Macaca mulatta: one gene and its partners. The protein of the gene in region 2 interacts with the protein of the main gene of each other region in a pairwise test. Links are inferred from orthologs where the notes say so. Each region holds a gene or a part of one and is shown on either strand. Other genes may lie near its edges.

Region 1 (3,656 bases), on a different chromosome or scaffold from region 2:
AAGTTAATTTTACAGTTTTAAAGCAGGATCTCAAAATATACTCACCGCTTGTTTTGCCTCAAGGATAGTCCTTGTCTTCCTAACAAGGGAGGTGTCAAATGACTTGACAGTGACTAACTCTACCACTGCATTCCCACCATAAAGATTGTACATGTCATCTGCAAACTGAAAGTTAGTTATTAACGTTATTGGGAATCTCAAATATGTACTTTTCTCATTTTTAATTAACAAATTAAAATCATATATATTTATCACATCAACATATTGTTTTGAAATATGTACACATTGTGAAATGGCTTAAGTACACATTGGCTAATTAACATATGCATTACCTCACTACTTATCATTTTATGCAATGAGTCAAACACATACTTATTAAAATGATTTTTAAAGCTTTTGTGCAGCTACAAGAACAATGTACACTTACCTCCTGGCTCATGAAATATACTACATCTTAAAATAAGCAAGTATTAAAGGTTTTGATTATGCTCAACTATACAGAAAAGTGTTGAGCTTTAACATATATTCAAATGTTCAGAATAAAATTAAGAGACTGAATTTGTCAGCATATAAATTGGAGGAGGGAAAGTTGGAAAGAGAAATGAAGAAATCTTCCTAAGTGGTCTCTGGTTAATCACAAACATCTATAAAAATTAAAATGTGAAGCCTCACTGAAAGGATGCAGGTGAAGAACTTCAAGGGCAGAGGGGAACTAGCATTTATTATGCATCTACTAAGTGTCTGGTACTGTGCTGGGTGTTCTACTTCAGTTATCTCATAGTGTTTAAGCGGTACAGAGTTTCAGTTGGGGAAGATGAAAAAGTTCTAGAAATAAAAGATAGTGATGGTTGTACAACATGTGAATGTACTGGTACTTAATAACACTGAACTGGACAATTAAAAATGGTTAAAATGGTAATTTTATGTTATATATATTTTACCACAAAAATTTTGTAAAGCTTTGTGTGAGATAACTTTTCCTAATGCTGTTCTTTCTAGCATTAGGAAGAAATATATCAATATACATTTTTGACCCTACTCCATCCTTGGCCAATATAACTAGAGGAACCCCAAAGAAGGCAAGTAAGAGCTCAGTCAACAGTGTTTGAAACAGCAGATTTTTCTATTAAGAGGCTAAAAGTGAAATGGTCATACTCCAGCCTCTCATGTCTCATTGATATTTACCTTTTGCAAAGCGTCAACAAGGATCTTAGAAGCATCTCTGAATTGTTCAGAGTCTTCCCCGTAACGCTTCCCAATTTCATCCAAACCTGCCAGCTCCAGTGAATACAAATCAGGAGAATGATCCTTGGCTAGATGCTTATGACGAGACAGCTTAGGAGAACAAACAAACAAAAAAAGGTAGTGGATAAAGTAAGATGAAAGATGTCAAACACAGCCAGTTAAAGTTTTATGCCCAAACTAGGCTAAACTAAACCATACCAGTGTACTACAGCATGCAAACAGTCTAAAATGGTGGCAAAAGAAACTGGTTTGAATAAGCGTTTCTGATAAATCCAACACGAATCTCATGTTTAGGAGCAGTACAAGACTCCTTGGATATTTAATAAAAGCTTTCAACAAAATTCCTCAGTTTTAAAAACTCAGGTATGGGCCTTGGTATGAAAGAACAGATGGCTGGACCAGTTTGATCCCAGGAATGCACTACACTTCCAGACTCCCCAAACCAACACCTGTTGAAAAAGTTTGGAAAACAACCTCAGAAGACAACAAACAGGTAAGAATTTCTATTTCAGTAACAAGGATGATTTTTTAAAAATCATTCACCAAAAAAATACCCTTCAGACGGATTTTGTCCCTTCTTGACTTGACTGACAGCATTATTAGTCCAAACTATTATTTCTATTTTAGGCCCAAAGATATAGATAGGAATTAAGTCTGACAAGAAATCAACAGCCAAGTTAGGACTATGGCCAGGGTGTTCTTACGCCCAGGCTTGTGTTCTTGGAAGATATGCTGTCTCTCCCTAAAAAGCAGAAATGCAAAATAATTTGACTATAACATGGATATATTCAAAATTCCCAATACTGCCACTAAGTTTTCAATTTTCATGGGATCATAAATCTAAGGCATACTTAATCAAACTTTTCAACTGCTTTTACTATCATTCAAGGATTCTCTAGAAACCAAAATAAATGGAACTGAAAAATCAGAGCAGCCTACTTACCAAGCTTGAAATATCATGTAGCACTTGCAGTTCAGAAAGAAAGAGCAGGTCAACCTTCAGAGAGCCCAAAAAAAAGAGCATTCTTTTAAATGTGCACCAGAGATCTTTATTTGCCATTTATCAAGTAAGGCATGGGATATTACAAATGATGATATAAGTGAATTTATATAATTATCTTCCATTTGGTATGTTTGCTTCAATTGAAAATGCACATAAAACATTATTTCCTAACAAAAAGGTGATGGCCATTCCCTAGTACAGTGACCGCCACTCAATAGCTATATTTTTGACAAAACCATGATAAAGCATTCAAGTTCTCCAGTGGTTTTCCTTCAAAGCATCGGGATATCCTGGCACTCTGCAATGAGATCCTACCATTGGCCCAGTTTGCTTACTTCCCTTGAATAGTTTCCACATCAGAGAATAAAAGATGATGGCCCTGGTCATCCACAGCAACTAAAGAGGGGAGGCCACCACAAAAGTGGCATGCCACATGGTTAAGAGGGTGCATGAGCAGATGGAGAAGCTGAAGGACAGGAGTCAAAAGCAGAGGTGGCTCCCTCCACTGCAATATCCAGAATGAATGAGAAAAATGTGGCAGCACATCAGCAGAAGCAGTGAACAATGGCTCCCAAGTTACCAGATCCACACAGCTCCACCAGTCACCAAGTAGATCTATGACCTCTGGCTTGTTTGAATTACTAGGTGGCAACCCTCATGCTAAAATGTGATGTTATTTACCATAGCTCCCCTCACAAAAAAGGATCAGTTTATTCATGAGAGTCATAAGAAAATTACATTAAAGAAGAATCTACCCCAGCAGTAAATGTGCACAATTTTTCATTTTCTAAAATATCAAAATTTCCAAAATTTCAAGTAGTATAAGGAATGGGAGGGCCAGACGCAGTGGCTCATGCCTGTGATCCCAGCACTTTGGGAGGCCGAGACAGGACTGCTTGAGGCCAGGAGTTCGCCTGGACTCAACAGAGTGAGACCCTGTCTCTATTTTTCAAAAAGAGGGAAATTAATGATATTCATATATTCATTGAATAACTGCACTTACTTCATTGTTCCTACTCAGAGAATTGAGGGGGAGTGAACTTAGAACAGAGTTTTCTTGAAATAGGCGATTACGGAGCTGGCGTAAGGTGACTGAAAGGTCTTCAAACACTGAGTTTGCCTTCCCTACCATATACACTCTCTGTAAGAAGAATAGAAAATTTTAAGTTGCTCACATTCTACAGATTAGTTCCAATACACAGAGGTATGACAACATTGTTCATAAATTAGTTTTAAATTTTCATAATAAAATACATTTCATAATTTCCAAATAATAAAAGCTTATTTTTTAAAATGTCTTAAATAAAAACATTATCACTTACTTCCTCACTGGGAGCCAACTGCAAAACAACAGGAGTTTCCTCAGAAAATAAGGAGTGAATGGAATTTGCAACACTGTCAAGACTAA
Region 2 (2,203 bases):
AAGAGATGGATCTCAGTTGCCTTTCAACTTCTTGTTCTAGAGTCCCTCTAATGATACCCCTTTCCTTGTTTCCTTTCAGATGGAGGAACAAATTCTGAAACGTGTGCGGAGGAAGATTCGAAATAAAAGATCTGCTCAAGAGAGCCGCAGGAAAAAGAAGGTGTATGTTGGGGGTTTAGAGAGCAGGTATGAAAGGGAGAGGGACTCAGTTTTAAGTGTTAGGTTTTTGAAGGGAGGACACAGGCCATATCCCCATATCTTTGTTATTTCCCCCAGGGTCTTGAAATACACAGCCCAGAATATGGAGCTTCAGAACAAAGTACAGCTTCTGGAGGAACAGAATTTGTAAGTATCCCTCCAAACCATTCCCTTCCTACGCTCCTCATTTAATGTTTTCTCACTCTTTCCCCTGCCCTACACTTGATTTCTAACAGGGTGGCTGCCTTCACTAGGTCTCTGATTCTAAGAAGCTCACAGTAGTGGGGAATATATTTATAAGTAACTGAGAATAAGCTAAGTACCTAGAAAAAGAAAGGGGGTAAGAAAGACCTCATGGGCTTTCATAGGATTCTGGGGTTGGGTTGGGAAAGCATTCTAGGCAGAGAGAAAGCATCCTAGGCAAGAGGATTAGCCCAGCATAGTCCTCTTGGGCTGGAACACATGTGAGCTGGGACAGAAGGTAGAGAACGTAGAGAATGCCCGGTGAGGATTATGTGCATAGCTGATCAGACAATGGGGAACTACTGATGATATTTGCAAAGGAGGTTAAGTCCTGGAAGAGTTTGTTTTGTTTTGTTTTTGCTTTTTTTGTTTGTTTTAATGAGGAACTTCAGGCATTTTTTCCAGAGTGGAAGAAGTCGTTTGCAAAAATAGAATGAAAAGTAAGAGAGAGGATCCAGTGCAGAGATGGAGGAGGTGGCCTGAACAGGAGTTTCACTGTGTCTCAGGGTGCTAGGCCAGGGGATGCTCACCATTGGCCCCTCTCTTCCTCTAGGTCCCTTCTGCATCAACTGAGGAAACTCCAGGCCATGGTGATTGAGATATCAAACAAAACGAGCAGTAGCAGCACCTGCATCTTGGTGAGGATAGTGATGAGGGGAGAAATTCTTTTCTCAGTTGCTGGGGACAGTTGTGCAATCCAGAGCCCTTCTTCATCTCCTTTTTCCTCTGCTGTAGGTCCTACTAGTCTCCTTCTGCCTCCTCCTTGTACCTGCTATGTACTCCTCTGACACAAGGGGGAGCCTGCCAGCTGAGCATGGAGGTAAGAGGCTTAAGGATAGCTCTCAGACATGGGCAAGGGGAGAGGCCTGGGTTGGCCTCTGAAGATTCTTTGTCTCCTCAGTGTTGTCCCGCCAGCTTCGTGCCCTCCCCAGTGAGAACCCTTACCAGCTGGAGTTGCCTGCCCTGCAGTCAGAGGTGCCAAAAGACTGCACACACCAGTGGCTGGACAGCTCAGACCACGTACTCCAGGCCCCTGGCAACTCTTCCTGCCTACTGTACTACATGCCTCAGGCTCCCAGTGCAGAGCCTCCCCTGGAGTGGCCATTCCCTGACCTCTTCTCAGAGCCTCTCTGCCGAGGTCCCATCCTCCCCCTGCAGGCAAATCTCACAAGGAAGGGGGGATGGCTTCCTACCGGTAGCCCCTCTGTCATCTTGCAGGACAGATACTCAGGCTAGATATGAGGATATGTGGGGGGGGTCTCAGCAAGAGCTTGTGGGGCTCCCCATCTGTGTCCAAATAAAAAGGGGTGGGCGAGGGCTGGCTGCAGCTCCTATGCCCTATCAGGAGGACTGAGGGCTCAAACACACCACACTTACTGGCTTTCTGGGTCTTTTATTTGTACCCATGTGTCTCACCCCATGAATGTACCTGGGGAAATCAACTGACCTCCCTGAACATTTCATGCAGTGAGGGAACGGGTGAGGAAAGAAATAAATAAGTGATTCTAATGCTGCCTAGGTCACCCTCAACCCCCATTTACTGGCACAACTGGGTGGGGAGAAGGGAAGGGGTATGATTGTCCTGATGGCTCAGGGTTGCAGAAGGTTCAGAGGGGAAGGAGGAAAGGCCAGGCTGGAGGCTGGGCTATTAGTGCTTTCCTCCCACAGTTCAGACGGTTCACTCTGGGCTCACGTTTGCCATGGCTTCCTTTGGTCCAAACATAGGCCCTGTCCTTAGTCCTGTGCCCTGTTCGACTTTTGG
Region 3 (3,756 bases), on a different chromosome or scaffold from region 2:
AAGTGCCAAGCACACATCAAGAAAGGGAAAGAAGTTCTTTCTACTGCTTTTGTTCACTCTCCCATCACAGCTCTTCCAAGGAAGAAGAGAGATGTCTTCTTCCCAATCATTCCAGAACTGTTCCCGATTCCTCACCCATCCACCTGCAACTCCATCATTCCAGATGTGACACTCAACTCCTAGCTCACTTAAATTACCTAATTATAAATTACCTTACAGAAATTAGTAATAATTAATAATGTAGGCAACTATAAATAAATGAGTATAAATTATATATGACATATATTTAAATTAAATGCTGATAGATGATAGATAGATAGATAGATAGATAGATAGATAGATAGATAGAATAAATCAACAGAAACAGCATAGTTTTGAGATCTAAAAAACATACGTTCAAGCTTCAGAGGCACCACTGAGGGAACATGAGCATTTTGGTAACTCCTCTGAGCCTCCCTCAATTTCTTCACTCAGCATCTTTAATCTGACAAACCAGAATACTGATGCCTTCCTCTTAAGTTAGCTGTGATAATTAAATGCATTTATGCATCAAAAGTATTTGTCACAAGACAGTCACTAAACAGGGTGAATGAAAATACATGAACTTCAGCTACATTGCAAAATTAGAAATCTTAATATACAGTTCAAAGAGACCAACACACAAAATTCTTAAGTGTCTGAATCTTGTCTGAATCTTTTTAATAAGCCTATATTTATTGACTTTTCTAACTGAAATACACTTCACCTTATTTTATAGAAAAAAAAAAAGAATGATTATCACATTAGGTGATGCTTTTTTTTTCTTTGTTAAAGATTTCCCTTTAACAAAGTCCAAGCATTCCTTGAACACACTCCAAGTGCTCCTGTAGCCCTTCACCTTCACTCCATCCTGTTACTGAGGACAGCTCTCCTATTGGGTGACCTACAAAGTTAACTTACAAAGAAGTCTAGGGTATCTGTACATACCTTACTAACAAGGACGTCATGGGAACACGAAACAACCATTGCTACAGGGTAGGTGCTAAACAATTACAGAATACTGATAACCCTGCATGGATTTGGCGTGTTCTACCCATCACCTGTTTTCAACAAGGCATTCCCGGGCCTCACAGAAGTCCGAGTAGGCACACATTACCACTACGGGACAGCCTTGCCCCTGGGACACATTGTTTAGTGGTGAAACTGTCACCAGATCTCTGGATTTAGTCCCAAGCTAGGGAGTTTTTAGGGTGTCCGGGTCTGTCTAATCTGAGGCAAGTATTTCCAACTCCCATTCCCAGACACCGTCCTGGAGGACCCATACAGCAAGTTCACAGTTGTGGCCACTTGCACTGGTGACCAGACTGTCTTTGTTCAACCTTCATTCTTCTGTGGCATTCATATTTTATTCAGAAAGAAGTTTCCAAATTACTCTCCAGAGTACCTATAAAAGCAAACTTTGCAATAGTTCCAGGAATCAATGTAGAGCAAAAGCAATGCTTTCAACTTTTGAATTTCCTGCTTATCCCTAAAATCAACAGCTGGGCAGCCAAAAAGTTGGGGGTGGAGGAGTGGGGCCTAGAAAGATGAGGTCGGGGCTCAATATGGGGAGTTCTGTGTACCCAGAAAACCTCAAGCCAATCTTAAGAGTTAATCAGAAGGTGGATGGCTGGGAAGTCAAAGCTCTGATGTTTTACAAGTCTTTGATGAGAGCGAATAATGTTGCCATCATTGCTAGGGTTGAAGCAGAAAAGAGCTTGGCCTAAAAATTGCCAGGGATTGAGAGGAGGTAAAAGCAAGGTGGGCGAAGTCTCATCCTTCGAGACAAGAACTTTGAACTTATTTTCTTTCAATTGAGCAGGGCAAGTTCACCTCCACCTGCCCCCCCGACCCGCCCGCACCATCCCCACGCCAGCCCTAGTCCTTCTCCTTCGGACCGCTTTCTCTCCTCTGTGCTCTCCCCTATCTCTCTTCCTGCAGAATCGAACGGCCAGGCTGGGAGAAGGCAGAAAGTGCTTGGCGGATGGTAGGCATGGAAGAGGGCTGGGAGCTGCGGCGAGGTGGGTGGAGGCAAGGGAGAGACGCGGCAAGGCAGTGAAGGTAAGGGGAAAGCTTAAGAGATTCTTAGAGAAGGAGGATACTCCATCTGTCATTCTCATTCTCCCTACTGGAAAAAAGAAAAACTGAATTAAAAGTTACATAACTTTAAAAAACTACCTCTATCTCCGGAGTATCTGAAGACAGGAGCGGCCACACCTCACCCCTAGGATTCCTAAAGCGCCTCGGGGGTCGGAGGGGTTGGACGACCCCAGGGGCTGGGGAGGGGACTGCTCCGGCCGAAAGGTGTCGCGGTTACTCGGCTCCATTCAGAGCACTCGAGCGCGCCCCACCCTCGCTCGGCGCCGGCGACGCCCCGCCTGGCTGGAAACCCGAAACTCGCGGGTGCCAGGCCCGGGTCCTACTACTGTCCCGCCGCTGGCAGGTTAGGGCCAGCGCCAAGGGGACCTTACCTCGGCCGGGGGGGCCTCCTCGTCCAAAGAAGGGAAGACCTTGACGGCACCATTGAGAGGCGTGTGCTCGTTTGGCTGCCGCACGAGCACCGAGAGCTCCAGCTCGTCTACGGGTGGTGAGGGTTGGGCCAGGTCCATGGGCGGGCGGAGAAGGTCTGAGCCGCTCCGAGGGAGGCCACAGCGCAAGGAGGGTCGAGCGACCTCACCGCCTCACACTCCACCCACTGGGCGGGGCGCAGCGGACTTCGGGCGGCGGGAGCGACCGGAGCCGACAGGAGGGGCGAGCGGTGAGTGGCGGCCACTCCCCGGAGCGGGTAGAGCACCTAAAGCCGTGCTCGCAGTGGGCTCTAGAGCCGAGGGCTGTTTTTCTGGTTTGTTCAGGGCGCTGCCTGCTGTGCCTTTCCCCGCGCCTGCAGATGCGGACCATCTGCGTTTAGGGGCTGCCTGGGTGTCGGGCTGTGGTAAGGAAAAGATGGGCCGGGCCGCACCGTCCAACGGAGGAAAGTTTGCGATCTAAGCCCACGAACTGTTGGTTGTTGGGGTTTGCCACAGTCCTCGCGGTCTAGCAAAAGTGCATTCATTCAATCAAGAAATAACCATGCCTCGTGCCAGCATGGTGCTAGGTTCTGAGTATATGAAGGTGAATAATATACACCAACACACTTCCTCGTCAAGTCCAGAGTCAGGCACAGAGACAGTATTGTGTGGTGCTGGGGACAGTGGACTCTAAAACCAGTGTACCTGGGTTATTCTCCACCCAGGGCGTTCCTCACTGTGAGACCTCGGGCTTCATCTCTCTGTGCCAATGTCCTCGCCTGGAAAGGTGGTGTAATATTTGTACCCTCCTAATATAGTTTTTACCAGGATTACAAGGGTTGCTGTAAGCAAGGCACTCAGAACAGTGATTGACACAGCAAGCACTCATAAATGTTGACCATTATTATTTATCTTTGAGGGGAGGGGCCTTACACACACACACACAAAATTCCTGCGCACACACAATCTCCTTGACACCCTATCTATAGTTCAGAACTTCCGGTTTAGTTAGCATGGAATTATGTTTGTTAAGCACAGCGTGGATTGGGCCAAGGGCCTCACCTCTCAAGCTTCTGTTCCGAATAGTCTTGTTCCTCATTTTCACCCTCCACGCAACACACACACACACACACACACACACACACACACACACACACACACACATTAAGACCAGATCATTAACAAGAAGCATATAAATCAGCTCCACTCCAAATACGTTGACTTGAGTCCA

Evidence for each region.
Region 1: the proteins of CREB3 (region 2) and ATP6AP2 interact in a two-hybrid assay, tested with the Homo sapiens proteins (2 studies listed by BioGRID and IntAct). The two-hybrid records come from large-scale screens. The link is inferred for Macaca mulatta from reciprocal best matches to the Homo sapiens genes CREB3 and ATP6AP2.
Region 3: the proteins of CREB3 (region 2) and C2H3orf52 interact in a two-hybrid assay, tested with the Homo sapiens proteins (2 studies listed by BioGRID and IntAct). The two-hybrid records come from large-scale screens. The link is inferred for Macaca mulatta from reciprocal best matches to the Homo sapiens genes CREB3 and C3orf52.

The regions. Positions count from the first base shown.
Region 1 is NC_133426.1:40,475,560-40,479,215, reverse strand, and holds part of ATP6AP2 (renin receptor precursor), read right to left. Parts: coding exon 3,571-3,656; intron 3,390-3,570; coding exon 3,252-3,389; intron 2,243-3,251; coding exon 2,189-2,242; intron 1,336-2,188; coding exon 1,186-1,335; intron 166-1,185; coding exon 46-165; intron 1-45. UniProt on the Homo sapiens protein: Multifunctional protein which functions as a renin, prorenin cellular receptor and is involved in the assembly of the lysosomal proton-transporting V-type ATPase (V-ATPase) and the acidification of the endo-lysosomal system.
Region 2 is NC_133420.1:63,959,881-63,962,083, reverse strand, and holds the end of CREB3 (cyclic AMP-responsive element-binding protein 3), read left to right. Parts: intron 1-79; coding exon 80-186; intron 187-276; coding exon 277-345; intron 346-994; coding exon 995-1,079; intron 1,080-1,176; coding exon 1,177-1,261; intron 1,262-1,342; coding exon 1,343-1,677; 3' UTR 1,678-1,699; downstream 1,700-2,203. Other genes in the region: GBA2 (non-lysosomal glucosylceramidase), read right to left, coding at 2,120-2,203. UniProt on the Homo sapiens protein: Endoplasmic reticulum (ER)-bound sequence-specific transcription factor that directly binds DNA and activates transcription. Plays a role in the unfolded protein response (UPR), promoting cell survival versus ER stress-induced apoptotic cell death.
Region 3 is NC_133407.1:171,557,998-171,561,753, forward strand, and holds the start of C2H3orf52 (TPA-induced transmembrane protein), read right to left. Parts: upstream 2,808-3,756; 5' UTR 2,628-2,807; coding exon 2,490-2,627; intron 1-2,489. UniProt on the Homo sapiens protein: Has a role in LIPH-mediated synthesis of 2-acyl lysophosphatidic acid (LPA). LPA is a bioactive lipid mediator involved in different biological processes, and necessary to promote hair formation and growth.